Linked DNA regions of Rhinolophus ferrumequinum. The protein of the gene in region 1 purifies or fractionates together with the protein of each later gene. This does not show direct contact. Links are inferred from orthologs where the notes say so. Each region holds a gene or a part of one and is shown in the gene's direction. Other genes may lie near its edges.

Region 1 (10,666 bases):
CAAGGTCTTTACCAGTCAGTGGGAAGCACATCAAACAGTAATTACTACTCACCTTTTTGCGGAAAATTGGCTTAGTCTGCCCACCATAACCACTCTGTTTCCTGTCATAACGCCGCTTTCCTGGGAGAATGAAAATTATTTGTTACGATATACCAAAGATAATAAATCACAACAGCCACGTGGAAAATCCTTCTTAGGGGTTTTATCTTGAGGTTTCCAGCAGAAATATCAATGCCCAAGAGGCGGGATGGGGGCGTCTGAGCTCGTATGTACTATACAAATGTCACATTCAAACCCAATCACGTAGACTTACCCTGTGCATACAGAGAATCCTTGCCTTTCTTGTACTGTGTCACTTTGTGGGGCTGGTGCTTGCCACACTTCTTACAGAAAGTCCGGCGGGTTTTAGGAACGTTCACCTAATAAACAGTTCAGAACGTGGTGTTATCAGATGCCAAAGGCACAACTCCGACCCAGCTGACGCTAAGGCAGTCCACGAGGACTCGACTCTCAAAATCCTCGCTAAGACACAACGCAGACTAGGTGGTCCAGCCCTATGTGCTTCAAGTACAGCTGCGTCCGACGAGCCCTAAAGTGTTAGGAGAGCATATCCACACCACCACTCACTAAGTCTACCTCTTTGATCCAACCACTTCAATTCCTGGCCCCGAAGCCCGGTCCCTTCGGGGTCGATCCCATCAACACTGGGTTTCTTTGGTATAACGAATCCGCACAGGGGCCCGGACCCATCCCGGATGGCACCGTTGACCTGGGGGCGGGGGGCGGAGATTAAACTGGATGGTACCGCATTCCCACCCCAAGACCTACCATGTTTGTGAGAGCGCTATCCGCGCGGAAAGAAAGAGGCCGGGCTGGAAACGGAAGTATGTAGGCGGTTCCTGGTCGCCCTTCTTCATGTCATGGGAGTCAGTGGGAGCAACCATAGAGTCTAAACCTCTGTGCGCAGCGCCCTCTGGCAGCTGAGAGGACTCGATTCGGAGCTGGGGACGGGAGCTTAAGGAAGGGCTCTGCCGAGGCTAGCACATTCTCTGGGACTTCCTCCCTCCCCCTAGCTTTGCGACTTTTCCTCGCTTCATCACTTTTGGCAGACGCTGATTCAGTGCAGCATTAAGTGAAGGAAGCAGTGCTCTTGCAGACCCTCTGGCCTCCCTCTCCCCGTCCCCGATGGAAGGCAGGACTAGAGGCAAGTGGAGGGGCCCACCACCTGCATGTTCCATTCCTGTTCCACCTCAAGGACACTGGGAACATCTTTTGCAGGAACTGCTGGTTCACTGAAGACTTGGAAGGAGCCAGTGCTCTAGTCCATCTATCACATAGCCAGTTGGTCCACTCAGCAAATGCATATTGAATGCGTATTCTGTGTTGGGCACAATAATCAAATAATCATGCTCATAATGTATAATTACAGACTAAGTACTTTGTAAAAAAGGAACAATGATCAGCATTAAAGCAGCCCCTTTTTGTTGAGGGAACTAGTTGGCTGCCCTAGGTTCTGAAAAATGAGAATGAAATTGTTCAGCTGCTGCAATCAGGTCAAGATACAGGAAGTATCCAGCCATGCTTCCCTTCCCTGGATACCTGTATGAACAAAAAAGGAGCCAAATACTAAACCTGACAAGCTCCTTACAAACTCGGTGATCAAAAGTAACCACACAGAAAGGTCTGGGCAGGTCACGGTAGGTAGTCTCGCCCCAGGCCTATAGCTTCCTCAGCAAAGGTCAATCTTCACGTTAAGTGAGCCTTGTCCATCGTTCTTATGCATCTAGGATAACATACTTCTGAAATGTCTGAGTAATTTTCTCTTATAGACTCCTCGAAGGCACAACAGCAGACACCAGAGCACAAGACCCACCACCAGAGCATGAGAGCACAGAATCCTTGGTTGTTATCTTGTTCTCTGCATACCACCTCTATGTGCTGTCAGTGTTAATTAACTATCCTGTACCCACCAATGTAAAAGAAGTATGTGTTTCTCCATTTTGCTTTTTATCCAATCCTAGAGATTTCCCCATTTTGCTTTCTCCCGCGTCTTTAAACTACCACCAATGGCTTTCATGTGCCTCCCTTACGTTTTTCCTTTTGATTCTAAATGCATAAAAGGAAATGCACAGAATTGTACACCTGAAATCTATGTAACTTTACTAACAATTGTCACCCCAATAAACTTTAATTTTTAAAAAAAAAAGGGAAATGCAAAACTGCCGTTCTCCAGAGCATTTTCTCAGTCTGTTGAGATTTTTGTTTCCGGGCGTGTCCTCAAAATTTTGGCTCAAATAAACTCTTATAAGACGAAATAAGTCAGACAGAAAAAGTCTGTTACTGATATATGGTATATAAAACTGAAAACAACAAAAGAACAAGACAAACAAATGAAGAAACAAGAACTCACAGACATAGACAATAGTTTAGTGGTTACCAGAGGATAAAGGGGTGGGGGGTCCTAGAAGAGGGTAAACTTCTGGGGGCGTCAAATATATGATGAAGGAAGGAAAACTGACTCTGGGTGGTGAGCACATAATGTGAGATATAGATGATGTATTATGGAATTGTACGCCCGAAATCTATGTGACTTTACTAACAATTGTCACCCCAATAAACTTTAATTAAAAAAAAAAAAACTTTTCTATATGTTTGGATGTTTTTTCATTGACAGCTGGCAGAAGGCATTGCTAGGTTTCAAAAGAGTCCAGCAGAGAAAGACTTCAGGGTACTGAGCACTTAAAATGGATTGTCTCATAAAATTCTCACAGTAATTCCAGGAGGTAGGTGATACTATTATTCCCATTTTACAGATGAGGACATTGAGGCTGCAAGCTATTTTAAAAATTTGCCCAATGTTGACAGTATTTAGTGGAGCCAATATACAAACACAGGTGATCTGAATCCAGAGCCTGGGTTCTCTTACCGTTATACAACATGACAATTGTGGCCTGTTAACTATAATAGGTAACAATTATTGAACACTTATTATATACCAGGCATTTTCCTAACCACCTTATATACTACCTCTTTTAATCCTAACAATCCAGGCAGCGTATACCATTATTAGTATTTAACAGGTTGAGAAACAGAGGCACAAGAGGCATTAATTTGCTTACCCAAAGTCACACAGATGGTTATTTTGTGGAGCTGGAATTTGATCCCAGGTAGTCTAACACTATAGCCTTGCACTTAACCACAACATCACACCGAGGAAGCAAGGGCATTTGCAGGGTGGAGAAGGATGAGGAGAGAGAATTGGGCAGAGGTGTAGGAGGAGCTGCCAGTGAATTAAGGGCCAAGGAACAATGAGAGCCTGTGGTCTCCTGCTTGCATAGCCCTCCAGGAGCACCCATGGGTCCTGAGCTGACTCTCTGATCATCCCCTTTTTGTTAGATGGTCTCTGGGAATGAGATAATAAAAACATTACCACTACTTGTTACATTTCTTAAAAGTTTTCTTTGCCAAACAACTAGCCTGTAGTCTCACAGCATTTTCTTCTCTCCGGGCTCTTAGGCAGCGTCACTCACACTGGCCTTTGAGGAGTTTCTAGAGGTTTTAGATGTTAGTAACATGGAAATATGAAGACAGCGAACATGGTCCCTCTTAGTCTAATCAACCTTAGTTCTTCCTATGACATCTCATGTGACATGGCTTTGGTTTCGATTCCCTTCACCAATCCTGGTATCTGTTTTGGACAAGCTCCTGCCCATTAATTTCCCCTAGGGTGAGCCACTCAGAACTGAACACAGGACTCTATATATAGCCTGGTCCTGCAGAGTAGGTGGCCTGTTCACATTCCTATGCCTAGATATTTTACTTCTGCAAGGAAATCTAATATCACTTTATATTTTCTGGCTGCCATGTTACTGACATGACATTTCTCTTGATTACTATCAGCAAAAACCTCTGAAACATTTCCACAAATGCTACTACTACCTCACTTTCACCTGGAGTCATTTGAAGTTCAATGTCAGTGCCCAATTATGGGACATGACCCTTAGCCCTGGTAAAATACATTTTGTTGACTTTGGCTTGTCACACCAGGTGATCAAGATCTGTTGGGAAACTGTTTGCTCTGGTTCTGTCATCCCCATCTAGCTCACAACAGCCTTGTGCCGTTCACTGATTGGCTAGGCTACTTTCTATAGTTTCCTCCAAGGTCATTAATAAAAATGTTGAACAAGATAGCACCAAGCACAGAACCTTATATTATACTGGGAATTTCTTGAGGTGACACTAGGCCATTTATTTGCACTATTTGGATGCAGTCCTTCTGTCCATCTAGCCAAGTGTGTTAAGGGAGTACTCATGGGCAGAAGGTGAAAAAGCACCTAGGTTTACTTTCCCCTTTTCCTTGCCCTGCTCTCCCTTGTCCAGCCTCCCCATTTTATGCCCGTTATTTCCCCGTCTCCACCCCAAGATGCACCTTGAGAAGGGATAGGGCATGTGACAACAAGTAGAATCTGAAGAAAAGGGGAATAAAGGCAAATGTCTGTGACCAACTCTCAGGCAGGTGACTGGAGACGCTGTTAAGAGGTGACTAGTTGAAAGGATATAAATTATCAATAAAATAGGAAGATCGTACAACACTTGCCACCCGTCTATCTTGTGCAGATGTGAGGATTAACCACTCTACAAATGCTTTTTTTAAAAAGTCCTGTTGCCTTAAAAATTCTTATGGACTTCTAGTGAGATCTGTGATCTGTTTCTATATTAGGATACAGCACCTGGGGCAAGTAAACATGGCAGTGCCTGATGTGTCAAGGTGGGCAAGCAGATCGGTCACCAGGGGCTCTGCTGCCATCCTGTCTGCAGCCAGTACTGGTTGAATTTCCTAGGAGAATCCTCAGGGAGAAGACTGCTGCTGGAACATAGCAGAGATAGCTGAGGAAATATTCAGGCTTTAAGTAACACACCTAGTCTGGTTTATTGCTTTACAGGATTAATGTGAAAAGTGTAAATTAGGAGTTAATCTCTGCAGCAGAATCTTTAATGGAGAAAATCAACATCCACAGAAAATAGGGAAGGTCACAAGTCTTTTTGTGGTCTTACATTTGGACATTTTTATCTGTAGAAAAAATGCTTTCTTTGAAAATGACTCAGCAGGGGGAAGTCTTGTCTCTCCTGTCAGGCTCCGTACTTTGGGGTCCCTTCATAAGCACTCTCCATCCTTCAGTGTCAAGTTTAACTGTGTGACCCTGAGTCTCTTTGGCCTTAGAGGACATGAGACTCTAAAGGCTCTCTTCCTCTTTAGTCCCTTTGTTTTGTCTTTGTGGGGTCTGCATTTCTCCTCCTTCCGGTAAGTCTCCACTACCTCTGCTGACCATTCCCACAGTCCTTTAAGCATGTTGTCCCTTTACCTTGAGGAAGTTTGCCTGATGACCCATGTGCTCAACCCAGCCCCATCTAGAGCTTCAGTGGCCCCAGTAATGTTGAGAAGGGTTCTTTCAGAGAGGACTCAAGACAGTAGTGTCAGAGGTCCCAAGCAAATGAAGGGCGGAGACAACTGGGAGGGGGTGGTTAGAATAGGGACAGCAGCAGGGAACCAGATACCATGCTGCTGAGAAGAAGAAAAAAAAGGCATTGGTTTAAGTCAGGAAACGAAAAAAGGGAACTGAGTGGCTGTGAAAGGGTGGGGTTTGCTCAGACTGTCCTTCCTCTCTGGACTGTAAGAATATGTCTCCAGGGCCAGTGTCTTCTGAGATCGAGTCCCACCTTCAAAGTCCTGGCATCTCAATGCATCTGGGAAGCTACCTGCACTAAGTCAGGACTAAGGTGGGTCTGCGGCACGGCAGGGGCTGGGCAGCAGCAGCAAATATCTTTTGTGGGAATCCTGAAGGCCAGAGAGAAGGCATGGCTGCTGCCATGTAGTTGGCTGATGGAGGAGGATGACTGAGGCTGGGAGTATCATCAGCACAAGGTCCCCTGGCAGTCCCCACCGATGATCAGAACAGGCTGTTAGGGTTCTTTCTGAGGACGGTTGTGGGGGAAACCGGAAGAGCAAAAAGTGACATGAGGTGAACATCTGAACAGGTAACAAATGTTGGAAAGGGGCGCCTGTGAAAAAGTTTGCTGAAAAGTAATATTGTCGGTGGCAATAGGATAAAAATAAGGCTTTGTTCAAATATTGCTTGAAGACCCCAAATGTGTACTTGTGTCATTGAGGTCCTTGGAAGAAGAAATTCTAAGGGGTAGATTGTCTGAGAAAATGGTGAAAGCTCCCACACTGCAATAGGCCGTTGACCTTTGAGAGCCGGGGAAAGGTATCTGCTAAACCAGCCTTTAGGCAACCTGCCTCAGGCTGCATCAGGCCCGTGTTACGGAGATCTGAGCTGTCTTGTTGGAAGGATTGTGTGCACCAGCCTCCGTGGTAATAGTGGGTAAGAGACTGGGGCAGAAGAAAGCAGCTTCAGCCTCAGCCCAGACTGTGTGGTCAACCCCTGAGGTTTTCCCTATTACCATTGCCTGCCTGCCATGTGCACGGCTTTTCTCTTGTCTTCATCATTTCTCCTTTCCTCCTCTCCATCCCCCCTTCTCCTCCTCCTCCTTTCTCTGCCTGTACCCCTTTTTCTTTATTCCCTCCTTTATTTTGTTCATTACCACATTCCCTGAAACAGGGGCAGCACTTAATAAATAATTGTTGAATTGCATTGCATTTTTCTTGCCCCTTTCTTCCCCTGCTCTTTTCGCTTTTCCTTCCCCTTACTTGCCTAGTGCTACTACCTTCCCCATAGGATTGTTGGGGGGCAATAAGGGTGTTAATATATGTAAAGCGGTAAAAACAGGGCCTGGCAATAGTAAGTGCTAGTATCTCAGTGTTTGCTCTTATTTTTATTCTGCCTGAGACCTGCCAGTGCCCCCAGAGGGCCTGCCTAGAGCAAATGGTGTGGGATTTAGAACAAAAGGGATCTCTGGCTCTGACCAAGAAATCCTTGGATGTGTTGCTGGACCTCCAAATAGAATCCCAGTCCAGGTTGCCAGCCATCTGGGTCTCCAAGCTCCAAGTCTCTATCCCATGCTGTGCATTTCCAGAGGCAGGGCAGCAGCAAAGCCCAGAGGCAGGGGTCTACCAGCTCAGGGGCTGTCCTCTGTGCTGTTAGCACAGCTCACAGCTCTGTGTGCTAGCTCTGCTCTTTCTCTCCTTTTGCATGCCAAGTCTCTGAACCAAAGGTGCTATAGCCTCTCTGGAGCCTCAGTTATTTGATAAAACAATGCCACCCTCCAAATAAGCCACAAAATGCAAATACTCATGGAACTTAAAGCATTTTACTGAAATAGTATCCCTTAGGGCTAGCCCTATCTGCTCTATTCTGACCCATTTTATATTCAGACTACTTAAACTACCTGATGTGTTAAAGTCCAAATTCCTGTTGCTTATGGTCAGTGCTGTGTTTGTTTAGAATCCTTTGTAAACTCCTTGTGGTGAGAACTAGCACAACTTTCCATCCACTTCTAGGGTCTTGGTGCAATTTTAAAATATCATTACTCTGATTTACTATTTCCATTAGAGCAAATTTCCTATAGAGTTTCCTTTCAGTGGACTAGACCTATACCAGGAAGTGACTTAGGTATAAGAAGATACGGCTTTTGAAAACCAGTTTGGGTGTTCTCCACAGAGTCATCAGATACCTGCTGTTTTTCATCCAGTGATGCCAAGATCCAACTGTTAACTTCTGGGAATCAGGGAGAGCTAGAATTTTCAGTGTGGTAGTGCTCAGCAAGAAGCTAGAGACAGACCTTGACCTAATTCACTCTAAAGTTGCTTGGTTATGCAAATGAAGCCATCAGGGGAGGGGGAGAGAGAACTCCTCTGAGGACCCTGAAACAAATGGGCCACATGTGACTTTCAGTTTCTGTAGAGGTTCATGTGCACTGACTGAGGGTGTTCAGAGAGCACTGGAAACATGAAAGCCTTAATCTCAGAATTTCCTTCTCACTCTCTGAGAGCCGTCACCCAGATGCCCTTAGGGTTAATTTTGGACCTCGAGAAGCTCATCTCACTGCCTTGCCTCCCTGAAAAAGAAATGAACAATAGTCTATTACCGTGTTTCCCTGAAAATAAGACTTAGCCGGACAATCGGCTCTAGTGCGTTTTTGGAGCAAAAATTAATATAAGACCCAGTATGATATGATATGATATGATATGATATGATATGATATGATATGATATGATATGATATGATATAAGACCCGGTCTTATTTTACTATAAGTAAAGTAAAATAGTAAAATAAGACCGGGTCTTATATTAATTTTTGCTCCAAAAGATGCATTGGAGCTGATTGTCTGGCTAGGTCTTATTTTCGGAGAAACACTGTAGCTCATCCCTAGAAGAAGAAAATTCTAGAGTCAAGAGAAGCTAAATTTTAGACCAGGTCGATGTTGGAATATATTGGAGTTCAAGATCACTGGCTCAATGAGAAAACAAATTCATCTGCAATAAAAACAGTAAAAAATTGATTAGAAATGGAGCAGAAAGAGTTAAAAGTATGGGGAAAGCAGACTCTCAAAAATGGCTGTGTAGAGTGAAGTTGGTATAATGTTTCTGGAAACTACTTTGTCAATATGTTTCAAAATGCAAAATGCACACACTTTTTGACTTGGTAAATGATGCATATATAGAGATCCTAATATCATGGGGAAATAATCACAAGTAATGTTAAATAAAAATTTTAGATATTTGGGGGGAAGAGTGTGCTGGATAGATGGGTGGATGGATGGATCGATAGATGCATGGATAGGTAATATAAAGAAAAATAAGCAAACTACAAATAGTACTATGTGCAATATGATCTTAAACATAAGAAAAATGCGCAGAAAAAAAAGAAGGTAATGTGGCCAAATATTAATGTCTCTGGATAATGAGCTTATAATTGGTGTTTTCTTTTTAATATTCCTGTAATTAAAACATTTTCTACAATGAACATGTTATTTTGATATCAAAGGAAAAAAATAAAAATATTTAAACCAGAGAAAACAAAAAACTAAACTGAAAGAAAAAAAAGACAAAGAAGAACACAAGTCCCGAATGAAAGATATACACCCCAGCAGTCACCCTCAGGGCAGAGGGACAATGCCGAAAGTATTACCACCAATCTGATGCTGAGTGTAAACTTGAGGATTGGTTATCTGGCTCTCCTTGCATCATCACTTGGCCAGAATCTACTGTCTCCAGTACAGGGTAGAAGAGATGATGAATCCCAGAGACCTAGAAGTTTCTAGAACCACAGAAGAAAATATAAAATGTTAACAATATGAAATACTGAAAAAGAACCATAGCCCTCAAATCTCTTGGAAACGACTACAGCAGATGAGAATTTCTCTGGTTAGCATGCAGCCAGAAAAGTGATTTTGGCTGGAAGTCTTCGCCACAAATTGGTTTACCTGCAGCACTGACCCTGAAGATTATCATCAAATAATTATGTCTCACTGGAGCCTGAATAGAGCTTCTTGGAACTCAACAAGAACAATTAAGTTTCTTTGTTGCTATGGTAATGATGTTTTAAAGAAGACTTCTCTTCTGCTTCCAGGGCCAGGGCATTCTCAATCAAAATCTCAATCAGAACCTGAGAGATGCTTCTTATGGCTGAGAAGAGATTTTTGGTAGGCCAAATTTAGTCCATCAGTTATACTCCAATTGGAGACAGTTGATAATTCTATCAGATTGCTTAGTAAAGCACCAGGAAGATAAGGACTGAGGAGGGAACAAGGGATAGCACAAAGTGTCTAGTCCAACAGATAAGCCAGACGTGGGTTTGCCACTTTGTCTCAATAACTGAGAATTCATTCTGAGAGTGGAAAACTATGATCACATGTACAAGAATGTTCTTGGCAGAGAGACAACCAAGATGGCATAGTAGGTAAACACTGTGTTTACCTTCTCTCACAGCCACATCAAAATTACAACTAATTTATAAAACAACCATTATTGAGAATTGCCTAAAATCAAGCTGAACTGATGGCTTTCAATTAAGGACGTGCAGAAGAAGCCACCTGCAGACAAGTAGGAAAGTCAGAGACGAGGAACAGGCTGGTCCCACACCCGTGAGTGACCATTAAAGATCAGGAAGGCTATTTCGGCTGTGGGGGTCCATCCCCATCCCCTAGAAGGGTGAGAGATCCCAGCCCCACTCCAGCCCAGGGTCCCAGTGTCGGGGAAAGAAGTCCCCATAATTTTTGGTTATGAAAACTGGCGGAGATTGTGACTGAGTGAGAGTGTGGCTGCACTCACAGGCGCTCTTCTTAAAGGGACTGCGCGAGACTTGCCCACCAATGGATCACTCACTCTGAGCTTCAGCGCTGGGGCAGAAGCTGAAAGGGCAGCAGAAACAGATGGTGGGGAATTGAGTTGTCTGGCTTGGGACAGGGTCTGCAGAGGTGTCTTTTTCCTGGACGGGGAAGCTAGTGGAGGCCATTGTTTCTTTGTTGAGCCCTCCCCCATCCTGGCGTGCGAACACAAGTGGCCACCATATCTAAGTCTCCCCAGTTCGTTTTCCAAACCCCGGTGATTCGAGACCTGACCCTGCCCAACTTTCAGGCACACCCGGGCTGCATTCAGTGGCTTTCTCGTGCAGGCTGCCTGCCTTGGTGCAAGCTGCAGACTTTCCTAGACTCTCAAAGTTTCGCGGAGCCCAGCCAGGCACTATCTGGCTTGGGCATGCCCTG
Region 2 (10,997 bases), on another chromosome or scaffold:
TTTGTTTTTGCAATAATGTGTGTGTGTAAACTTCCTCTATCTTCTTGTTTTTTAAAAAAATAGCTTATACTGTCCTGACCATGTCTATTCCACTTAACATATCCTGGAGATCACGACTTTTTTATGCCTGCATAGAACTCTGCTACAAGGATGGATCAAAATTTATTCAACCAGTCCCCCAATGATAGGCATGGAGGTTTTTACAATCTTTTATGATTGCAAGTAAAACTGCAATAAATAACTGTGTGCAGATGTCACATGTGTGTGTTATGTGAAAGTGTATCTTTAGGATAGGGTCCTAGAAGTGAGATTGCTGGGTTACAAGGTAAATTCTTGTATTTTGTTAGGTATTGATAATCCCCCCCACCCCCATGAAGAATGTAACATGTTGTAATCAAAGGGTGCCTATTTTCTAAGCACACCCTATCATCAGAATTTTAGATTTTTGCTAATTCGGTATGTGAGATATATATGTTTTTCGGCATAGTTATAATCTTTCCCTTAATAGGAGGGTGGTTGAGCATCTTTTCATCCATGTAAAGTCCTCTTGTCTTTCATGGTCTTGTTTTTTACCCACTTTTTATTTAGGTTTTTGTTTTTCCCATCTTAATTTTTGGAGCTCTTTATCTACTAGGGAGATTAGCCTTTTATCTGTGATATATGATGCAACCCTTTACTCTCAATTTGTCCTTTGTCTTTTGATGTTGTTTACATTTTTTGCCATGAAAAAGTTCTTTATGTTTTTCTAGTTAAATTTGTCAATATTTTCTTTGATTACGTCTGGATTTTAAGTCATAAATAAGGTTATGAAGAAATTAATTGTGTTTTCTTCTGGTACAGGGACGGCTTCATTTTTACATTTAGATCTCTGATCCATTGAGCGTTTTCTGGTTAATGGTTTGAGGTATGAATCTAACTTTTATCTTTTTCCCAGGGGCTTTGCAATTGCCCTGCGATTGAAAAGTTCATCTTTCCCTCATCAGGTATGGTACATCCATAACATTTAATCCTTGTTTTCTTCCATTTCTTTCTGCACTTTCTCTTTAGTTCCATTGGTCTGTCAGAAATACCACGCTGTTTTTATTAGAGAAGCTTCATAGGGTGCTTTAACCTTGAGAGGGCAAATCTCTTTCCACTCTTTTCAGGAGTTCCTTATTTCTTTCTAGAGAGGAGCTTTAGAATCGACTTGTCTCTGTCATGGGAGGAGGGGAAGGTCTGTTTGCTATTTTAATTTGGCATCACATTCAACTTTCACCTTATATTGGACATCGTCGTGATATTGATCCAAGAACATGAAATAGCTACCCGTTTGCTCAAGTCTGTTTTCGTTTGGGGGCCTTTTGAATTTGGATGGACTGCCTGGGTAGGAAGACTAGGAGACTAGTCAACTCCACCAGATAAACGGTGACAGGAAATTATAATTAACTTCCACGGCATCTGTAATTGAGGACTTCTGGCCTGCATGACCTCCACCCCTGGAAGCCATGAGCCTTCTCTCAGTTCTCCACATCTCTGACACTCCCGTTCCTTGGTCAGAGAGCTCTGCCTTTCTGCTCTTGCATGCTCTCTGGCTTCATCGTGGCCCTGATTATTGGGGACAACTCAGCCTGCTGATTGTCTAGGACCCCATGCATCTACCTCCCACCCTCTTTCTGGATGGCTGTATCTGTCTGGTGGCTGGGCTGTGTGACTAATGAGGAGAAAAGGGTGTTTGAGAACCAGGCTGACCAAAGGGATGGTGGGAATTAGTGAGGAATAAGACGGATCCTCAGGGTGAGACTCAGTTACAGAACAGCATGAGTGACAGTCATACTTGGTTCTAGAAGAAAGGAAAAGCCTCTGAAATCCTTAAGAAGACACAGTAGCTGAGAATATGGCCTGAGAATGAGAATGGAGGTGGATCTAACTACAGAAAAGCAGCAGGAGGCTGAGCAGTGATCCAGGTGAGGGCTGAGGCTGGAGTAAGAGCGAGGTGAAGGTGGAAATACTACAAAGGAGAATCTTGTTGGTAGTTGGCTCTGAGGGCTGAAGAGAAGGGAGGAGGTGAACATCACACACAGACCAGGAGTTGTCTGTCCCAACAATAGGCTATTGTAATGTTCTTGCAGGCCACGGTCTTGGACTGACACTCTGAGTAAAGGCTGTTTTCTTCTAAGCTATTCTCCTAATAATACAGATGTTGCACTCCAGGCCAATTTGACATATAGAATATTGACTTTACTGACTAGATAAAATAGGGAACTGATTTGTCTCACAGAAAGTGAAGCCTTGGGCTTTAAAGAGCCTTTGCCCATTTGCTCATCACAGATGTGTTCTCTTCTTCCTTCTTTCTCCTTTCCTGCCCCTAATCTCCCCACAAAGGTGGAGAACAAACAGACCGCTACCCGCATCCGCCGTACTTCCTTTTCTTTCTCTGCCTTTCCCTGGCCTCTTCTGCTGTTTTTTCCACTGGCTTACCCAGGCTCCTTAGCTTCCCCCCAAACCTTCCTCCACTTGGGCCCTTAATTGGCACTGGCCAGTTAATCGGGCATGGGTCTGCCCAACAGCAAGCTCCTGCTGTATGTGTCAGAAAGCTGCCAGGGCCACTGTGCCTGCAGCACACCCCTAACCCCCTACCCCCAAGAAAGAGGGCTATCACGAGAGGAATAGAGAGTGAACGGTGTGGGGATTAAGAGCCCTGGCTCAGGGGTCAGGAAGGCTGGATGGCCTTAGGTAGGTTATGTCACCTTTTTTGAGGTTCAGGCTTCACATCCCAAAATGGGAATGATAATAATACCCCCTCATAGAGTTGTTGTGAGGCTGCCCATCATGGGAGTAGGTTATGGTTAGAACCATACTGCATAGTACTGATGCCACACTTTGCCTACTTTCTTTGGCAGTTTACCTAAACCAGACCTGGCAAGGGAAAAGCCATCAGCAAGGGGGTAGCAGAGCACAGAGGGTAAACCATGGCTGATTTCCCAGTTCTGGTGAGGGCTTGGACTACTTCTAAGGCTCTGTAAACTGCTACAACCACCTAGCCCCACTTTGTGACGCAATCTCATATAGGCAATCAGAGGCTTCTCTTCTGGAAACTGTAAGAGTGTTTCTGCTGGTGGAATCCCATTTCTGTGCACATGGGGCAGTGTCCAGATGCCAAGTCAGAAGGAGCCTGAGCCCTCCTTGAATCTCCTTTCCTGTCCTCTAAAGGTGAGAAATTGATGTCAGGGAGACTAAGTGATTCCCCCAAGGTTATGATTAGGTCGGCGCCTTGATGCCAGGACAGGGCCCTCTGCTAACTCACAGATCTCCCTTGCAAATGGTAAAGCCCAGTGACTAGCAGCACACACTAGGAAAACAGGCTTGGGGTTGAATCCCAGCTCTTCCATTGTTGAGTAGCCTAACTTTGGGCCAGTTACTTAACCTCTTTATGAATCAGTGTCTTCACACATGTAAAATGTCATCATAGTACACGGACATGGAAAGCATTCAATAAGCATGTTGTTGTTTGTTGTCATCAATAGATGCAAGGAAAAGAGCCCAAGAGAAATCAGGGCGGGTTGGGTTTCATCCCCAAGCTCCAGTATAATCTGTCTTCTCGTTCTCACTCCTCATCATCTCACAGAACTAACTGAGACTTAGGCAGGCTGTCTTGCCTTTGCACCATAATTCTAGACCAGGTCTTCTTTTATTTGTTTTTGTTAAATATTTAATATCTACAGTAGGTACCTATATATTCACCACTTAAGAAATAGGACACAACCATTGCCTTTGAAACCCTATGTGCCTCTCTACTCCAATCCCACGCCGATAGCCATTCTCTTGAATTTTACACTTACCATTTCCTCCCTTGGGTTGACCATATATGTATGTGTCCTAAATAATATATCAGTTAATTTTGCCTTAATATAACTGGAATCATGCTATATGGTCTTGCCTTCATTGCTGAAATTATGTGTGTTATTTATCCATCCCGATGCAATTGTAGTTCATTCATTTTCACTGTTGAATAATACTCCATTGCATGAATATGCCACAACTAATTTATTCATTCTCCTGTTGACGGGAAATTGGGTTATTCCAATGCTGTTTTATTTCCTATTAGAAATGGTGCTTTAGTGACAATTCTTGTACATGAACTTGGTGTACACGGTATATTCTTCGTGCTCTGTTACCTTTATGACCCATGTGGATCGCAGGTATGTGTGTCATTGCACCTACTTTATTTTTATCAGCAGTGTACAGGAGTTCTCAATTTTCTCTAAGGTTGGGATTATCCATTTTTCATCTGTTAATCTAATGATTAATTACGCCCACTGTACTGTGCAGATCGAGACTGAGTTGTTTATCGTGGTACATTTTTCTCCATGTGCTACAGAAACCATGTTATGTGGTCTCAGGCCTTTTACAAGTATCAGTTAAGACTTGATGTCCTGTTTGCACTGACCTTGGGAACCTACTTACACCTGTAGCGCAGTTGTGGCAGCATGGAACATTATGGTTGTCATGCTACAGACCACATGGGGCAAAATGTCCAGTCTGGACAAGCAGACTCTCATTTTTATCATGTCAGACTAAATACAGTAAAAAGAAGAAATACAAGTGGCTGTAAAAAGAAAAAGCAGAAGTGTGACTCTTGCCCCTGATCTGTTTCTCTGGGGAATAAGAAGTTGCCAGCACAGGTGCTGAGCCGAGTTGTTGGTGGAGAGAAAAGTCAAGTGGCCGAGGGGGTGTACTTTACAATAATTCAGAAGGAATGAGCTGATTATCATCATTCCATCCCAGTGAAGCCTGATTGTCCTGATTTTTGATGACATTCTATGTGCCTTCATCATCCTGGACTACTAGTTTCAGTTAAAAATTATGGGAAGGGGATGGGCCGAGGTGTAGAGTTCCTTCGGGGTACAATGCAAGAAAAGTGAGCTGCTTGCTTGGGGGAAATAAATGATTGGAGGAGGCAAGCACTTGCATTTTTCTCATGAAAATTATCTGCTCTCTTATTGGCCTGGCCACCCCTCAGTAGCTCTGAGGATTCTGCTCCTGAACGTCTGGTCGAGCTAGAAATTCAGAGGCAGTACATGAATGTGAACAGTCAAGATTTACCTGGAGAAGTACAGAACCTCTGTTTGTACAAAGGAGCGACACAGGAGGGATGAAATCCATTTACTGCTTCCACCTCTGCCGTTGCTGCTGCTGCCTCTCTCCTCCCTTCTCCTTCTCCTCCGCCTCTTTCTCCTCCTCTTCCTTTAGCTCTTCTCCCTCTTCCCCTTGTATGTTCAGCCAGACTTTGGGTCTGTAACAGGAGAGGTACCTGGGAGCCCTCCACTTTGTCCTTTCTATATATTCTTCAGACTCTGGACAGGACTGGTCACCTGGAATAACGTAGAAGAGTACCCCAATTTCACAAAGGTGAACAGGCATTCCTGCTGGCTACAGGGAAGTGTGTCCAGGCATAGAAGGAACGGTCCCTCTCATTTCCTTCTTCCCTGACTCTAAACTGCCTTCTGACCTCTAAATGACAGACAAATGGGAGATTTTCAGAATAGGTCAAGGGAGCAGTCAAGTCTTCCAGGAGGGAAGTGGGCCGTTCTGAATGGGTCAGCCCTACAGGTGTGCTTCCCTCCTCCCTGCTGCTCGCCTGACCTGCAGTACTTAGGATGCCCTTACTGCCCCCATGTCTGCATGTAGCGGTGTCTGGGAAGAGATGAAAGTGAGCAGCGGAAGAGGGCAGGTGGGGACAAAGGCAGTGAGGAGCGTGGCATCCTGCTTTTCAAGGGACTTCCAAATGGCCCGATGTCAGAATTGCATTGTTAGGAGACTGTCAGATTTGTTCTCAGCTGACTTTTGGGTACCTCCTGGTTTTGTTTGCAAACATCTGGCTCTCAGCACAACTCCTGAGTCCACTGACCTGACAAGGATTACACATAACACACGTCTTATGATACAGATCGTCTCCTCTTTTTCAGATCACTCATCTGTCTCTACCTTGCCTAGAGAACTGTCCATCCCATTTTAGATAGATTGTCAGGAAAAGAAAACTAATTCTCTGAGTAGACTATTACTGCTGTGTCACTGCCACCTGATATTTATTTAAAAACATTTGGGTGGGGGGTGGAAGGGATGAACAGAACAATATAAAAATGCCAGTTTCATATCATGGTTCTTCAAGTGGAAAAGTTTATCCATGACGTGACGCAAATGAGCATAAAGTTGCAAAGAAACCTTCTGATGGAAATGACTATTCTGCTTTTCCTTGAGCCCAGGAAGCTGCTGGGGACAGCATGACACCTGCTGAAAACACAACTATATGTGTTTGAGACAACAGGAAGTAGTGACCAGTCAGAGCTTGCCCTGACCTGGTTAAAAATCTGGTTATAAAAGAAAGCAGCTGGAAAGAAATTTGCATGTCCAATAGGTTTCACTATTAGAGTTTACACAATGTGGAGTAATCAGCCAAGCTGGCTGGCTACCCGGGTCACATGATTATGTAGAAACATGAAACTTGACTATGTGCTCGAGCAAGTTTTACTTCTCCCTGGTGCCAGGGTGTTTGCCAGCAGCCTGCACTCTCGGAGATCAGACTCCAGTGATTGGGGATCCTTGAGATCAAAGGCTTACCATGCTACCCCCTAGCAGGGCCAGGGACTGCTGACGTTACCACTGGACGGTTATCTGTGGCTCATTATTACCAAAAAGAATGGACAAGCTTAATAAATTAACTGTTCCTGCCAGTCAGAAGTTGAGGTAAGATTGTCCCCATCCAATACTTCTTCTTCGCTTTTTCCAGTGATCTTACTGCATCTCAGAAATACTGAAATCCTGGAATGCTTTACTAGTTCTAAGGCAGAGGGTGGCAACTACTATGGGGAAGTAGATGACATTTTTAAAGAAATATGTAGGAACAAGTAGGCTTATTTTAGCAGGCTTTTGCCAGAGACAAAGTGTAAAGCTCTGGAGGGAGAATAAAAAAGAGAGGCCAAAGGTCAGCTTTCAGAGTCTGAATACAACCACCTTTTTTAAGGAAGGGTTTGCCTAAGCTGAGTCCTCAACCATTTCATTGTGGATTGCTTTGTAATGTGAAAGATTGTTATAATCAGGTGTATTCATTATAGTTTTACTGTCTCTTATTTATTTTGTGGGTATATATCAAGTGTTTTGGGGGAGATTAGATCTGTTTTTTCCCATGTCTTCATGTCAGTGTAACAATTATCTATAAAAATCCACTTAGAAAGAATAAACCAGAAATGACCCCAGGGCGGGCAAGAATCAAGAAACTTCTTTGATCTATAGAAACGAAGAGTTCCAAAATTTTGATTTTGAAATTCTTCTTTGTGTTTCATGGTTTTTGGAAACTGGAATTTTTTAATGTTCAATGACTGGTTTGTATTTCAACTACTGCTTGAGCTTCAGTTTTTCATGGGGTGACGTGTCACATGTGGCAAGTTACCACAGATATTAGGAGCCAGAGAATTCGAGCTTTTGAGACAAAATTTAAGAGCAAGTAGTCTGGAATTGGCAGAGACGCAGCCCTTCACAGTGAGACTATGGGTCTTAACACCTGGTAGGTGCTCGGTAAATGGTGACATGAACTGCTGCCCTGGAATCGGCACGAGCACAGGACACAGTCAGCCATTTTGAGGGCACGCTCTTGGCTGCTGCTGTGTGGTCTGCACAGGCAAGGACAAGAAGGTATCGCAGTCTTGCCCTTGGTCTCAAGTTGCTGCACCTCCTAGGAGGGGGTTAGGTAAAACCAGACAAGTAGTAAGTGACTAAATGAGTGTAAGCTAGGAATTGGAGGAGCTGGAGGTTTCAAGGAGAAGATGCTTCAAGAGCTTTAGGATTTGGGAGGCTGGGGGCATGAAAGGAGGTGTAGAAGTGGAAGGGAAGTATTATGTGCTAGGAGGGAGGAAATGCAAAGCTGACACTTGGAGCTGACATTTAGACGGTCCATGTGAGGGATGAGGAAGAGAGTTTCCTATCCAACGGAGACCGGAGAGTAGGGCATGTGGGACCAGGCGGTCCTGACAAGGTTGGATGCGTAGGGTAGCGCCCAATTACAGAGGACAGGGAGGGCTCTCACCACAGAGAGCTGGAAAATGGTTTACACTGTTAGAGATGTCCTGCCAACACGCTTATGGGAGGTTGGCAGGGTGGGCTGAAGGGGGATGGAGACTGGAAGCAAGGAAACCCAGTAGGAGGGGGACAGTTAAGTAACCCAAGCATCTAGTGTTGCAGGTCTGGACTTGGGGCACAGCAGTGAGAGGGGAAAGGACAGAGAGGCAGGAAAGACATGCCAAAGAAACTACTAAGGAATAGATATCAGGGCTTCTCTCCTATGAGCAAGAGGGTTTTGAAAGATATGTTCCATAACCTGGAGCTATCCTAAGGCTTACAACCTCTTTCAGAAACTCTAGATGAGAATTTGAAAAAAGGCAATAGAACCTAAATCACTTTATGATCCCTCCCTTTCGGACAAAGTCCAGCTTGATCATGTAACAGTTGATAGACAATATACAACCATGGATTACAGGGTAGAAAACCAAAATTATATTGTGGATAATCATACACTCCACTCATCTGTTTAGGCAGAAATAACTTTTTTTTCCACTTGGTTATTCAGTTGTCTGTTCAGAATTGGCCTGTTTTGGTAAAATGTACACTGTCAGCGTGGACATTTTCAAAGAAATGAAATTGTAAACACAATGGACTTGAAGCACCATCTTAAATCTTTTCTGTAATTAGATGGGATAGTGAGAAATAGATAAATAAAATACTTGATCCCTGTGGTTTATATCCTGTCCTGACTAGTAACACCAATACAAAAGGTTGCCTAACTGCAATTATTTGGCACCAGATGACAATATAAATGAAGAGCTGTGTTTATACGCTTAGGTTTATCAAAGTTTATGTGAGAATTTGCTTAAATTCTTAGCCACAAAAATAGAGAGATAGTAAGTGTCCATCAAGGGAGTCTAAAAGGGATGACCCTGATCTAGGCAATATATTTCCAGGGCTGAAAAGAAACTAGAGGCAGAAGGAGTGACCAGGAGTGCAGGAAAAGCAGAATCAACCAAGGAAAGGAGAACAGGCAGGATTGGAGGGAAACAAGGGATTCTCAAAATGAAGGAGAAAAAGAAGGTTCCCAGATGGACGCAGCTGGGGATAAGAATTTGCCCTGAGAGTTTCTGCTGTGGAAGAATTGAGAAAGGCGAGGTGGCTAAATTGCATGTGACCACAGAAATGTGTGAGCACAGAGTCTCGTTTTTCTTTTCTTGTGTTTTTTTTTGGTTTGTTTTTTTTAACCATTGAAGTACTACATGAAGGAATCCATAAACTCTCAAGATCTTTTAGTTAATTCTTAACTATGGTTTTCCCTGGATTTTATAAGATAACATTATCATCAGAAACCCAGCTAAAACCTGGTTTCTCAATCCTTTCACAGTAAACATTCCTAGGATCCTAAAAAGTTTACACTTCTAGGTAAATATTTCAAAATTTACAATCCTGAATCACATGAACTATATTCTTTTTAAGTGAGTGAAACTTTGAAATTTTATATTTTTATGTTTTTAATAACCTCTCAATTGACTCTCATCTGTGCTCACGTCTTTTTCTTTGTAGCACCTATAAACACACTCACTTTTATACATGCAAAGGCTCGTTGAGTGTGGTGAAACCAAGTCACCCCAATCCTTATCTTATTGGTTAAAGTGATGCTTTTCAGTCCAACTAACATATGTGTAATTTTAGGAAAGTTTACTTAATCTCCTTGGTCTCAGTTTCTTCAGCTGGTAAGAAAGAGGTAATAACAGGACCTGATCTTATCGGGCTGTTGTAAGGATTAAATCAGTCATTCTATGAAGCATTGACACATAGTGATTCTGGCAAACAGTAATTATTGAATTTAAAAATGGTAGTTCTCAATATCAATATTGTTATTCTTATTAATTCTATAGGTGTGCAATTGATTTTCTGAACATAAACACAGGACTTTACATTGATCCTTGATAAATTTCATGTTAGTTTTCAGTTCTTCTTTCTGGCTATTTTGGCTATTTTACCTGTCGATACTGACACCTGCGGCATTTAGCTTTGCATGGATTGTAGTCGTGACAAATATCCCTTCTCTGCCTTAATTTAAGTGGCTAATAAAACTGTTGAGCCTGACAGAGCTCTGGCGTGGGTATCTGAATCTCACTGCTAGTGGAGAATTTAAAGAAAGAAAGGCAGTAGAACCTAAATCATTTTATGATCTTATTTAACAGATTCTGGGATACGACTGCTCAGGTCTTGGAATCCTCACTTGGAATTTCCAGTTAGCTGACTTTTCAATTCCTCAGAAACAAATTTACCTTCTTTTCACCTGTCCGCCACTAGCTCCCTCTCCGGTCCTCCCTGTTTCTGTTAACGGTATCATGGTATCATCATCAGCCCAGAGTCTGATTCATCCTCCTCTCTGGACCTCCACTCACCAAGCACACCCTGTAGTCTTTCTTTTATGATGCTTCCATATATGTCCCTTTCTTTACTGCCACACCATCCTGAATAGGATCTCATTTCCCCTGTGTCCCCCATCTACAAAATGAGGACTTTAGAGCAGACGATTACCAAAGTCCCTCTCTACTCTGATGCTGTGTGACCCTTTAAGAATGGAGACAATGCTTGACATATGTTATACATCCTCTAAGGCTAGTATTTTATCTTATGACTCTCAGGAAATATTTCCTGATTGAATCATCAACTTATGTGAGACAACCAGTTTGCAAAATATCTTCCAATTCTTTTCTTATTGCTTTGAAAGCTGCCCAACTTTGGACACTGGGGTCAGAGAATGCATCTAGACAGCATCCAGATAAGATTATCCAGAAGATAGCTATGATGTATTTAGAAGAACAATGCAACTGGAGCCCCAAAGGGCAGGGCTCCAATTGCCAGTTACTAGCTATGGGTCTCATTCAATTTGTCTAAGCCTCGGTTTCCTCAACAGTCAAATAAAACTAGAGATGCCTTCCTCACTT
Region 3 (11,146 bases), on another chromosome or scaffold:
TTAAGGTTGGAGCAGGCAAAGATGAGGCCAGCTGTGGAGTGAGGCCCTGGAGGAGTCCAGGGACCCACCGGAGCAGCACTGAGTTTGGAATTGGGCCGTTGAGTGGATTTGCGTCCCGGGGAAGCCCTCGAGTTAGGGACGGGGTTATAAAACAAACCAACAGAAACCGGTATGTCGAGGGCCTGGCTTAGTTCAGCCGTCTGCTTATCCAACCACCCAGCGGAAATCTGAATTCCAGTCCCTGCTCTGCCACTGATTTACTGTGTGACCGAGAGCATACGATCTCCCTCTCTAAGCTCCAGCCTCCGTATCCTCTTGTTACAAAGGCCTCCTTGCTTTTCCCAGCGAAGCACAGTCCTCGGAATTTTTCCATTCACAGTTACCTGGTCTGGATTCTAGAATGCAGTCCTCCCAGATATCAGCAGGGCTCACTCCGTCACCTGCTGTTGTTTGTGACTCCCGCCACTCAGAGAATCCTATTTAGAATTGCAACTCCACCCTGGCGAACTTCCTGCTCAGGTTTTTGCTTTGTGTTCCCTCTGCACTTCACCAAGAGGTGGTAACATCACGGAACTAAAGCTTCATCTTTAGGGCCCCTCCATTCCCTGGGACTCTTCTATGGATCCAGGAGGATGCCCAACAATTTGCTCCCATGAGCCTATGTTTTTGTAAAATTTGCAAAATACTATCTGTACTGCAATCACTTAAAACCCGCTTTCTTACGATTTCCCCTTGTGTTTAGAGGCATTTGGGATCCAGGTAGAGGAAATCCAGTTGGGAACATTTGAGTTTAGTAGGATATATCTATGTGATACCCTTCCGTGTATAGTTAAGTTATTGCTGGCCTTCTGTGTGTAAGGTATACCTACCAAACACTGTCGTCAGTGAGTGTCCTCAAGGAAAGGAGTATGTAAGGTTAATCAGGGAACTAGAAAGCTTGAAATCATCTGAAATCTTACAGTTCCTATAGAACAAAAATTTGATACAGGTTGCTCCCAACTCTGATAACAATTCACAAAATGACCATGATATTACTAAAAAGGAATTGTTAAGTCAGAAGTTTTTCTAAATTATCAATAATAAAAAACTCAGATCTAATTAATATGCTAGAGGTAAGACTAAATTATCTCTCCATTCTTGTTATGGAAAATGTCACAAAATTGTTGTCATATAAAGAGGTAATCAAAGCATATTCAGCCTAAAAGAGAAAAAAATAGTGTGGCGGTGTTTAAGAAAATTAGCAAATATGTTTCTTTCCTGGATTTTGTGATGTTTATGCTATTTGTCAGCTTTTAAAAATTACAAATTTGTAATTGCATAATTTCTTCCGTAATTTGTGTTGTAATTCTTTGTTCTAAATAAATATTGTCTTTCCTACCTAGTTTTGGTTTTGTAATTGTCTATTCTTCATGTAAGCTTCAGTCACCTGAAACTCAGACCAGCTTGTTTATAACCATCTAACATACATTTTATTTGTTTACTTATGACTTTCTACCTCTTCCAGAATGTGCACTCTAACTTAGAGAATAGTAAAGACTCTGAGAGAAACTTCCTCCCTGGCTACTCTTTCTCCCTTTCCTCTGTTGATTTCTTATCTCTCCAGTCACTAAATGGTGGCCTGCCCCTTCTCTCTGGATTTGGTCTCTTTTCTACCTTCACTCCCAGGTGGCTTATCCAGCCCAATAGGTTTAAATATTATCCATATGTTGTTGACTCCCTACATATTTATCTCCACCCCAGACCCCACCCCTGAAGTGGGCTCAGTGGCCCGTGTGAGTACCTACCTGGATGTTTAATAGTCACCTCAAACTTAACACGCCCAAACTAAGCTTCTCTGATTTCCTGCCTCAACCTTGTTCCTTCCACAGTTTTCCCATCTTAGATAAGGGCAACTTCATTCTTTCATATGCTCAGGCCAAAGCCTTCAGAACCACCATTGACTTGACTCTCTCACACCACATGTTTGAACCATCTGCATTTTTTTGGCTCTACCTTCCAAATATTCCAGACTGTCTATTCACCATGTTCTATCATTCTTGTCCCAGCCTCCATCATGTCATTGTTACTGTAATAGCTACCTTACTCTTCCTGCTTCCAATTCTCAATCCATATTTGTAGAATTGCATTTGAATTCAAACACTCCATTACTTGGCAGCACATTAAGTCCGCATAGAAATGCAACTTTGATATGGAAGCAGCTGGAACCCCATTACAGACTGTGAAGTTTCCGATCATAGGGTGTTTGATTTTGCAAGGCTCCCTTGCTAATGGAAAAGCAGTACTTCAAAGGGAATGAATCTGCGGACGGACCAAAGCTCGTGGAATTTTACCTGGGAGAGTTGTTAAGAGAATTGAGCAGCTGAAAACCTGCCATGATTCTCTTGATCTTCTTTTGCCTGGGATTTGAGACAGGAAATTCTCTGACTCAGAAAAATCGTTAGTTATGTTTTACAGTCTGCCTGGGCTCTTCAGCTGGGTTCCTTTCAACCTCCATTTTCCAAGAACCTTGTATTTGTTTATAATTCACTTACTGTCTTGTTTATTTCATTCTCCTGAGCATGCTCTCACAAGCCCCTGCCCCACCCCCTTTACTGCAGTAATATGTGAGCCGTAGGAGAGCAGTAACTCAGTTTACAAATCGGGACTAGAAACATCCTTAAGGGTTGGTTTTCTGGTACAGGAGTTCACTAGATAGAAAACAAAACAGTGAAGTGGCAGGCTTTTTCCTGATTGCATGCTAAGTTGTATCCCTTCTTTCACCACAGACATTGAAGACTATTTATTGTTCTTGCCCACAAGTAAATATTCACTTACTTTTCTGAAAACACAGGGCCCTCTCTCTATAGCCTAAAAGAACAATTCTCAAATTGTTAAAAACATAATTGTCATATTCTATATCTTGATTGGAGTGATTTTTACATGAGTGTATACATTTGTCAAAAATCATCAACCTTGTACACTTAAAATGGGGATTTTACTGTATGTAATTTATACCTCGATAAATCTGATTTTAATATTATAAGTCAATGACAAATAACTAACCAAAAAATGTGGAACTTACATGATGACAAAAGATTAATACCCTTAAGAAATTAAAAACATAATTCTCATACCAATAAACACAGCTTATTTAATTGTTAATGAAAGAACCAACAATATGACAGCTGATTTGAAAACAATTTGAGAACAGTTACTGGGCAAAGGAATGCTGAAATATGATTAAGTTAAAGCCAAACTTCTTTCATGCCCTGCAGTGTAATAAAATAGTAACCTTTGGGGTTGGGGTTGGTTATCTTCTCCATTGGACATACAAAAATGATTGCACCTTATCAGTTTCCTACAAGTTAACCTCTAACTTTACAGAATTATAAAACATCACTGTGTCCTAATCGATTGTTAGTCAAAGTTAAATTTCCCCAGAGTCAGATGTCCCTCACGTGGGTTTATTAGAAATTCTCTAGCATGATATTAAAAAGTCACACAATCAACACATGTCATATTTTCAGATACTAGATAATTTCCCTCCACACGTTTTTATTATTCCACATTTGATACAGACAAGATGTATAATAATTTCCTATTAAATCTACCTAAGAAAACAATACGACAAGTATGACAATAAATGGCACTTGCCTTTAGGTAGGTAACAGATAGTGGCGGGGACCGTGACACACCAGAACACCATGCCCCATCCCAAGGGAAAAGTTGCTATGCAGCTCCAGCCAACTGTTGCCCTGTGGGAGAGCTGGTCCTGTATTGCCATATCTGTCCATTTTTAGGAGAATCTGGAAGTAGAAAGTTTTATGTGAAAGCTGTCAATATTTACATGTTGGCAATCCGTTCAAATTGCTCTAAAATACTGTGAAGGCCAACAGAATGCGGGAAGAATGTAAAGAAAACCAACTTACTGAATCTGGTCTGAGTCAATGTCATTATCTGACCTAGAATAATACCTTCTTATGGGAAAACAGGCCCAAAGAAAGGAAACACTTACCTCCAAATCACAAGGTGAGTTTGGCGTGGGCAGAACTTAGAACCCAGGTCCCTGGATTCCCAGGCTTTTCCCACGAGGTAAACATTATAGATATTTTCTTTGTCTCCCACTAAGTGTTTCATGTTTTATGTGCTGACTGATGAAATATAAATGGCTGTGTATGAATGCTTACAGTACCCTTAGGTCAAGTTCAAGCCAGTGTAATGTGCCCACTGTTGTGTAGGATTTGCGTGGGCCTTAGCCTGCATCCTACCCTTATTTATACTAATAACAATAGCTACCATGTTTTGAGCCTACTTCTGTGCCAAGCTCTGTGCTAGGTACTTTACTTATGTCATATCATTTAGTCCTTTGATAACCGCATGATATAGGTATTACTGTTACCTCCATTTTGCAGATGAGGAAACTGAAGCTCAGAAAGATAAAGTCACTAACTCAAAACCATGGCCCCACATACTTATGGCTCCAAAGTTGATAGTCTTAACCACTGGGCTAGACTATCTTTAATCATTCATTCATTTGTTCATTCAATCAGTCAGTCAGTCAGTCAGTCAGTTAGTCAAATATCTACAATGTGCTGGTGCCAGTTGCCGGGCCAGGCGTTATGGGGTAATACAACTCCGTAGACCCGAGTTCCAGTCTAAAACATTGAGGCTGAGGCTAACTGGGTCCACATTCAACCCACATCCTATTCTTCTAACTCAAAATAACAAGTGGTTCTTGAAACACACAAAGTTGGTTTAAAAATTATATGTAACAACCACCTCTAGATGTTTAGGGAGCCTGTTCAAATTAAAAATTTGTGACAATGCGAACATACTAGTAGACCAGATTTCTTGAAAACCAGACCCCCTGGTAGGAGGAAGACAATGTTCTTGACTGCTAGAATAAAGGGTTTGGACTTTTCTTTAGCTCAATGGGCAGGCAGTTCCTAGAGATGTGAAGAAAATTGTCCTTTGGGCAGCACGTGCACCTTGGATTCTACAGAGACTGGAGGGATAAAGACTAATTTGGAGGTTATTACACGGGGGAAAAAAGAAGGAATGAATAGTAGTCACTTCAGGGTACATTCAGCAGGAGTGAGGTATAAATGTCCCTTAAACTCTCCGTAGCCAGGTTTCCAGTATGCTCTTCGTTGAAGACAGCAGTGTGATGGAAAGAGAGGACTTTTCTGAGTTCAAATCCCAGTTCTTCAATTTTCTACCCCTATATCATTGGACAATAGATGTAACATCTCAGGACTTCAATTTCTTTATTTGCAAAAGGGGGTATAATAATATCTACCTTCTAAGGCTCTTGTGAGAGAGAACTACATGGTATAGTATATATCAAGCACTCAGCAAATGGTACATGTTCAATATTTTATTTCTTTTCTCTGTTTCCTTCTACTACAAATAGAGTTGGCATATGTCCTTATAGGTTATGGGTCAAAGAAGTTCAAATAACATTTTTCTCCATACAGTACAGTGGTAAGGTAAACCTCACAATGCTGTTCTGAGAGCACTACAAATTCTGAAAGTGCTTTTCACTGTCAGAGAAAGATTACATTTTAACTGGGTTGAACGAGAGGGAAGAACACAAGCCCTCATCCCAAGAGAGCTGAGTTTTCATGAACAAGTCCCTTATCTCTCTGGTTTCAGCTCCTCATCTGTAAAATAGAGATGGTCCTCCTTGCCCACCTTATAGAAGTTTTTGTGGAGTATGTCCAACAAACTCAAAAAAAGACTGGAGGCTTTAGCAGGAAATAAATGATTTTTTCAAGGGTCTTAGAGTTTGCAAACTTAGAACAGAGCTAGGCAAAAACCCAGAAGTGTTCCAAAGAAGAAAGAAAAGTTAAGAGTTCTTAGAGTAAAAAGTACATTCTTGAGAATTATAATTTATGCATTCTTAGTCCTAGGATTGATTGGTATAGAAAGGTTATCAGTCAGAGGTCAGGCAGTCTGGATGATGGATGTCAGGTGGTCTGGTTATGTGAGTCCTTGTGTGTGTGTGTGTGGGGGGGGGGTGGGTGGGTGGTGGATAATCAATCAGAGGGTTATCTGGAGGTCTGGTGTATGTCCAGATGTATAACCAGTCATTGACACGGGACTGGAAAGTTTAAAAAGTTGTTACCAAGCTAGTTAGAACAAGAATAGTGTCTTTCTTCAAGCCTCAACCTTCACAATGTTAATAATTTTTAGCAGCTTGGTTAAAGTGACTTCATTTTATATATTCCTTCTTTCCTCAGGTACAGGGTTGTGAACATTCTTACAAAACAGTGCACCCAGTTGCACTGTTGCTGAGCTCATCGTTATCTGCTTGCGGAATATTTCTCTGTTTCCGGCTCTGACTTCTCCCATAGGACTGTGAACATCTCAGCGGGAATGAAGTCTGATCCTACGTCCAGAACTTAATACAGAGAATTACCTGGCTCAGTGACTGGCTCTCGGACTGAAGCATCGCTCTGGTGTAACTACGTTGAATTAAAATGCTTTGTATATCAGTGATCAACTCCGGGGTTACCGAGAGAACCCTGAATAAAGGGATCTATCGCATTTAGAAGCTATTACTTCTCGGTTAGTGGTGATAGCCCCAGATTTTAACGTATTATCATTTTCCTACTTAGACTATGCAATTGTGGAAAGTTCTTTTTTTTACGTTCATTGATTTAAAATATATCCATATTTATCTTTCCCTACAGTTTGTCTTCTTGACGTTCCTTTTTGAGTGGCTGCAGATCATCTTAATGTGATTGGTTAAAGCATCTGCCCGTTACCTTTCCCATGGACCGACGGAGGAAATGGAAAAAAAAAAAGGAGAGTCTTAAATTCAGCTGTTTAATTGGCTCCGGTGTAGGGACGTATGGCGGAGCCGTGGACACTTCAAATTTATGACTGGTTCTTGTGTCCGTCAGTCACGCAGCCGGAAACCAATTCTATTGCAGGAACTATACCCGGTTGGCGGGAGGGAGGGGTGGTTAGGCCGGAAGGGTTTTCATTGGTTCGGAACCCTTCCGCTCGCGACCGGAGCCCGCCCCTCTCTCGGTTGCCGTGGTTGCAGGCTGGGGCCCGCCCGCTCACCCGCTGACAGCGAGGCTTAGGGTGGAGGGAAGCGGGTCGGTTGGTCGGTCGGGAACGAGGCTTCCGCGGTCTGGCCCGCGCAGAGTTGTTGCCATGGCAGCCGCAGCCGGGGGCGCGGACAACGAGCCGCGCTCTGGCCGCTCGAGCTCCGACGGCGAGTGCGCGGTGGCGCCGGAGCCGCTGACTGGCCCCGAGGGCCTCTTCTCCTTCGCCGATTTCGGGTCTGCGCTGGGCGGCGGCGCGGACCTCCCGGGCCTCCCGGGCCGGGCGTCCGGCGGGGCCCAGTCCCCTCTGCGCTACCTCCATGTCTTGTGGCAGCAGGACTCGGAGCCCCGCGATGAGCTATGCTGTAAGATCCCCGCCACCCGGCTGAGGCGCGCCGCCAGGCCCCACCGCCGGCTTGGGCCCACCGGCAAGGAGGTGCACGGTGAGGAGCGCGCAGGAGGTGTGGCGGACTCCCCGCCAGGAATCCAGCCCCTGATCTCTCCCCAGCCCCCTCATTCTGGAGTCCTCCGACATCGGATCTAAGGGCCCAGAGTCTCCTTTCAGTAGTAATAATTATAGCGGCTAAGGACCGTGAACGTTAAAAAAGTAAATAAATAAAAAAGTAAAGTGTTCCTGCTCAGAACTAGTCACTCTAGGCCTTTCACACTTGGTAATTCCTGAATAGAAACTTGTCATGACTCTAGGTGTTTTTTAGTAGATAATACAATGGAGTACTGGGGAATACTTTTATTATCTGAGAGGGGAGGTCAGCCAAATCCTACCAATATGTTTTAATGCACAGACCTGGATTGGACTCCTCTATCTCATTTCCACCTTAGGCAAACTATACAGCCTTTCAGCCTTCGCTTTCTCACCCGTAAAATTAGTACAATACCTGCTTTACTGGGATGTTGCGAGAGTTAAGGAAGGTAATGCATGTATAGCTATTAATCTGGTTTTGTGTGCCAAATCCTGTTGCGTGATATGTGATCATTTTTAATCCTCACAATAACTCATTGAGATCCAGATACTTCCTGGTTTATGGAAGAGGAAACTGAGGCTCAGAGAAATTGCCTAGCTCCAAGTCACATAGCTAGAAAGTGCTATATTAGAACCCAGGGCTGCCAGACTCAAACTCCTACTCTGGTATGTCGACTGGATTGTCTTTTACAATTTACTGTGATTCCACCTGTATCTTAATAGTGTTATAAAGATTAAATGAGAATTTAAGAGTGCTGTATAAACCATAAAGTACTCTATGAATGTAAGGAACTGTTATGTATCTGAGTTGTCCTTTTTGAGCATTTCTCTGATGACAAAGACATTGCTTTCTATTAGCTTCTAAACTGAAGGTAGTGTCATTGTAGGAGAAAAATGTTTCTGCTTAGGAATTACCAAATTTAAGTAAGTCATTTGGGACTGGCCTGTCTTGGAGAATGTAAGATTACCTGTGTAAGTTCACAGAGAGCTTCCATGTAAACATCTCATTTTGTCTTTGCAACGACTGGGGGGTGTCAGAACAGAGCTCAACCTTGTTTTGGGGATGATGGACCTGAGGCCAGAAAGGTTAACTAACTTGCTCAAGTCACCCAGCTGCTACAAGTGACAGAACCAATATCTGGCTCCAAAGACCTTGGAGGATTTGCTACAGAATGTGGCTTTTGCACTAGCTGTGCCACGTTTCAAGTTTCTCCTTGTTCCCACGGTGGTGTCACTTGTATCCTGGCACCTTTCTTTCCCTTTAGATGTTATTGTGGCTGTGTGGTGGGTTAACTGGGAAACCATCCGCTTTCTGCTTCATCATGGCTGTTGTCGTTTTTCTTTAACTGGGACTCTCCTACTCTCTTCACAGCTCTGAAAAGGCTGAGGGACTCGGCCAATGCTAACGATGTGGAAACAGGTGAGTGTACAAAGCGGATCCAGCTCCATGGGCTAGTTAGGGAAGGAAAAATCCAGGTACCAATACCTGGGCAGATAGTGCTTGAATTCAGCTAACCTGTGGACCAGGCTCACTGTAGTCTTTGCATAACTGCAATCATCTTGCAGACGATAAATCTGGCTTAGGTGCTCACTCTTCTTCCCATGTTTCCTGTCACCCCAAACTTCCTGATGTCATGGTGTTTATCACCCTGTGGGTTCCCTGATGGTGGAGACTGTGTCTGCTTTTGTATCCCTGATACCCAGCAGCAGAGTGGGAACTTTTGGAAACTTCTGGTTAATGGGAATGAACCGTCGATTTTAGCTGCCAGGAGAGCCACCGTCTGCACAGAGCCGCCACCTTCAGCTGTTCATTGAGGCTTTTTGGGTCACCGGTTCTCAAACTTGTTTTTAAGCAGAACACCTGAAAGGCACCACTCTGTGTTTTTGTTTCTCCCTCCAGTGTTCACTAGGAGACAGGGCAGTAGCAGGATCAAAGGACAAGGACAAGTTACAGGAAAACAGTTTTAAGTTTATCCACTGACTTAATTCTTTCTGTGAATCAGGGAAAAGAGGGATATTCATTTTCTATGGCTGCTGTAACAATTAACCACAAACAACACAAATTTATTATTATGCAGTTCTGTAGGCCCGAAGTCCAACACAAGTTGCACCGGGCTGAAATGAAGGTGTCCGCAGGGCCGTATTTCTCTCCAGAGGCTCAAGGGCAGAATCTGTTTTCCCTACCTTTTCCAGCTTCCGGAGGCCACCCATATTCCTTAACTTGTCGTCTCTCTCCAGCTGCAAAGTACAATAGTGAACTGAGTTGTCACACTGCCATCTCCCTGGATCTCACCGCAGGAAAAGATTCTCTGATTTTTAAGGACTGGTGTGATTAAATTGGGCCTGAATCATCCAGGATAATCTTCCTAGTTCAAGGTCCCTAACCTTAATCACATCTGCAAAGTCCGTTTTGGGCATGTAAGGCCCAAAACATAAATAGCCATAAATTCTGGGGTTTAGGGCGTGGCATCGTTGGGGGCAGTTATTCTGCCTACCTCAAGTGGACGTCATTCTGTTTTGGTGGTGGGACCCTCCGGTTGACAGATAAAATGTGAGTATAGATTGAGAGCCATGTGATAGGAGAGCAGGCGTGGAGAGGAGATTGTTTACCTTAGGAGCTGGGGTGTCACACCATGGGCCCTGAAGTGGTTCCCTTAATCCTGGATTAGCATAGTGAGCAGTCCTGGAAACTGGGGGGCTTTTCAGCTCTCTTTACTTTGGTCTCTTTCCTGTGAACTTTAACACTTTGGAATATTTGGGCAGTAACCTAGATAGTTTTTTTAAGGAAAACAGGTAAGTGTTCTCTTTTTACTACTAGTGTGTGACCAGAGAATATTTTAATTATACTTCCCTTTCACCAAAGGTCTAATTCATCTTGAATGAGGTGTTCACATGGTAGTTTTATTATTTTGATAGAAAGGCTGTAATTTTCTATTCAGAGCCTCTAACACACCCATCTTCAAATATAAATGGCTCTTAGATTTATTAGGCTCTTGCAGGACGGTGATGGTGAAACTGGCTGTAAGATTAGCCTCTTCACTCCTTTCATGTTTAGTATTTTGTTTTCTTTTTCTGCATGCTTATTGTTTTTTTTGTATATTTTAGCAATTACTGTGGACATAAACTTTATACCCTGCTATTGTTAAATTACAAGTGCTTTTCTATGAATTCATAAATCATTTAAAATATTTTAAATATGACCTGAAACTAATAAAAAAATAAAATATTTTAAATATGGAAATAATGTATGCATTTTAAATGTTTTGGATATTAGAGAAATATACAAGAGAAACATCTATAATGTCAGCAAAGGAACAAATCTCTGTTAAAGTTTTGGTGAATATTCTTCTAGTCCTTTTTCTTATGCAGAGGAATTTTCTTTATGGGCTTGCAAACTGCCGTATACACAGTTTTGTAGCCTGCAGAATGTTTTGTGTCATAAACATTTTTATAGTCTTTATAACCATTTTTTCAAAATGGCACTGTCAGTTTTTTTCCTATTTACAGAATGTATACATGACTGTATGATTTTTTTTCTAAAGCTTATAAAGTAAAAAGCAAAAAACACTTTATAATTCCATTCCTCAATTATAACCACAATTTTTAACGGATGCAACCTATACCTTCA

What was found.
Region 2: the proteins of BTK (region 1) and BLNK purify together in Homo sapiens (affinity purification with western blotting; 5 studies listed by BioGRID and IntAct, with this or other methods). This does not show direct contact. The link is inferred for Rhinolophus ferrumequinum from reciprocal best matches to the Homo sapiens genes BTK and BLNK.
Region 3: the proteins of BTK (region 1) and ANKRD54 purify together in Homo sapiens (affinity purification with mass spectrometry; 4 studies listed by BioGRID and IntAct, counting the BioPlex papers as one, with this or other methods). This does not show direct contact. The link is inferred for Rhinolophus ferrumequinum from reciprocal best matches to the Homo sapiens genes BTK and ANKRD54.

Annotation. Positions count from the first base shown.
Region 1 is NC_046284.1:53,107,804-53,118,469, forward strand, and holds the start of BTK (tyrosine-protein kinase BTK), read left to right. Parts: upstream 1-5,609; 5' UTR 5,610-5,778; intron 5,779-10,666. UniProt on the Homo sapiens protein: Non-receptor tyrosine kinase indispensable for B lymphocyte development, differentiation and signaling. Binding of antigen to the B-cell antigen receptor (BCR) triggers signaling that ultimately leads to B-cell activation.
Region 2 is NC_046299.1:27,240,199-27,251,195, forward strand, and holds the start of BLNK (B-cell linker protein), read left to right. Parts: upstream 1-6,458; 5' UTR 6,459-6,676; coding exon 6,677-6,723; intron 6,724-10,997. UniProt on the Homo sapiens protein: Functions as a central linker protein, downstream of the B-cell receptor (BCR), bridging the SYK kinase to a multitude of signaling pathways and regulating biological outcomes of B-cell function and development.
Region 3 is NC_046293.1:9,099,339-9,110,484, forward strand, and holds the start of ANKRD54 (ankyrin repeat domain-containing protein 54), read left to right. Parts: upstream 1-6,694; 5' UTR 6,695-7,146; coding exon 7,147-7,480; intron 7,481-8,890; coding exon 8,891-8,938; intron 8,939-11,146. UniProt on the Homo sapiens protein: Plays an important role in regulating intracellular signaling events associated with erythroid terminal differentiation.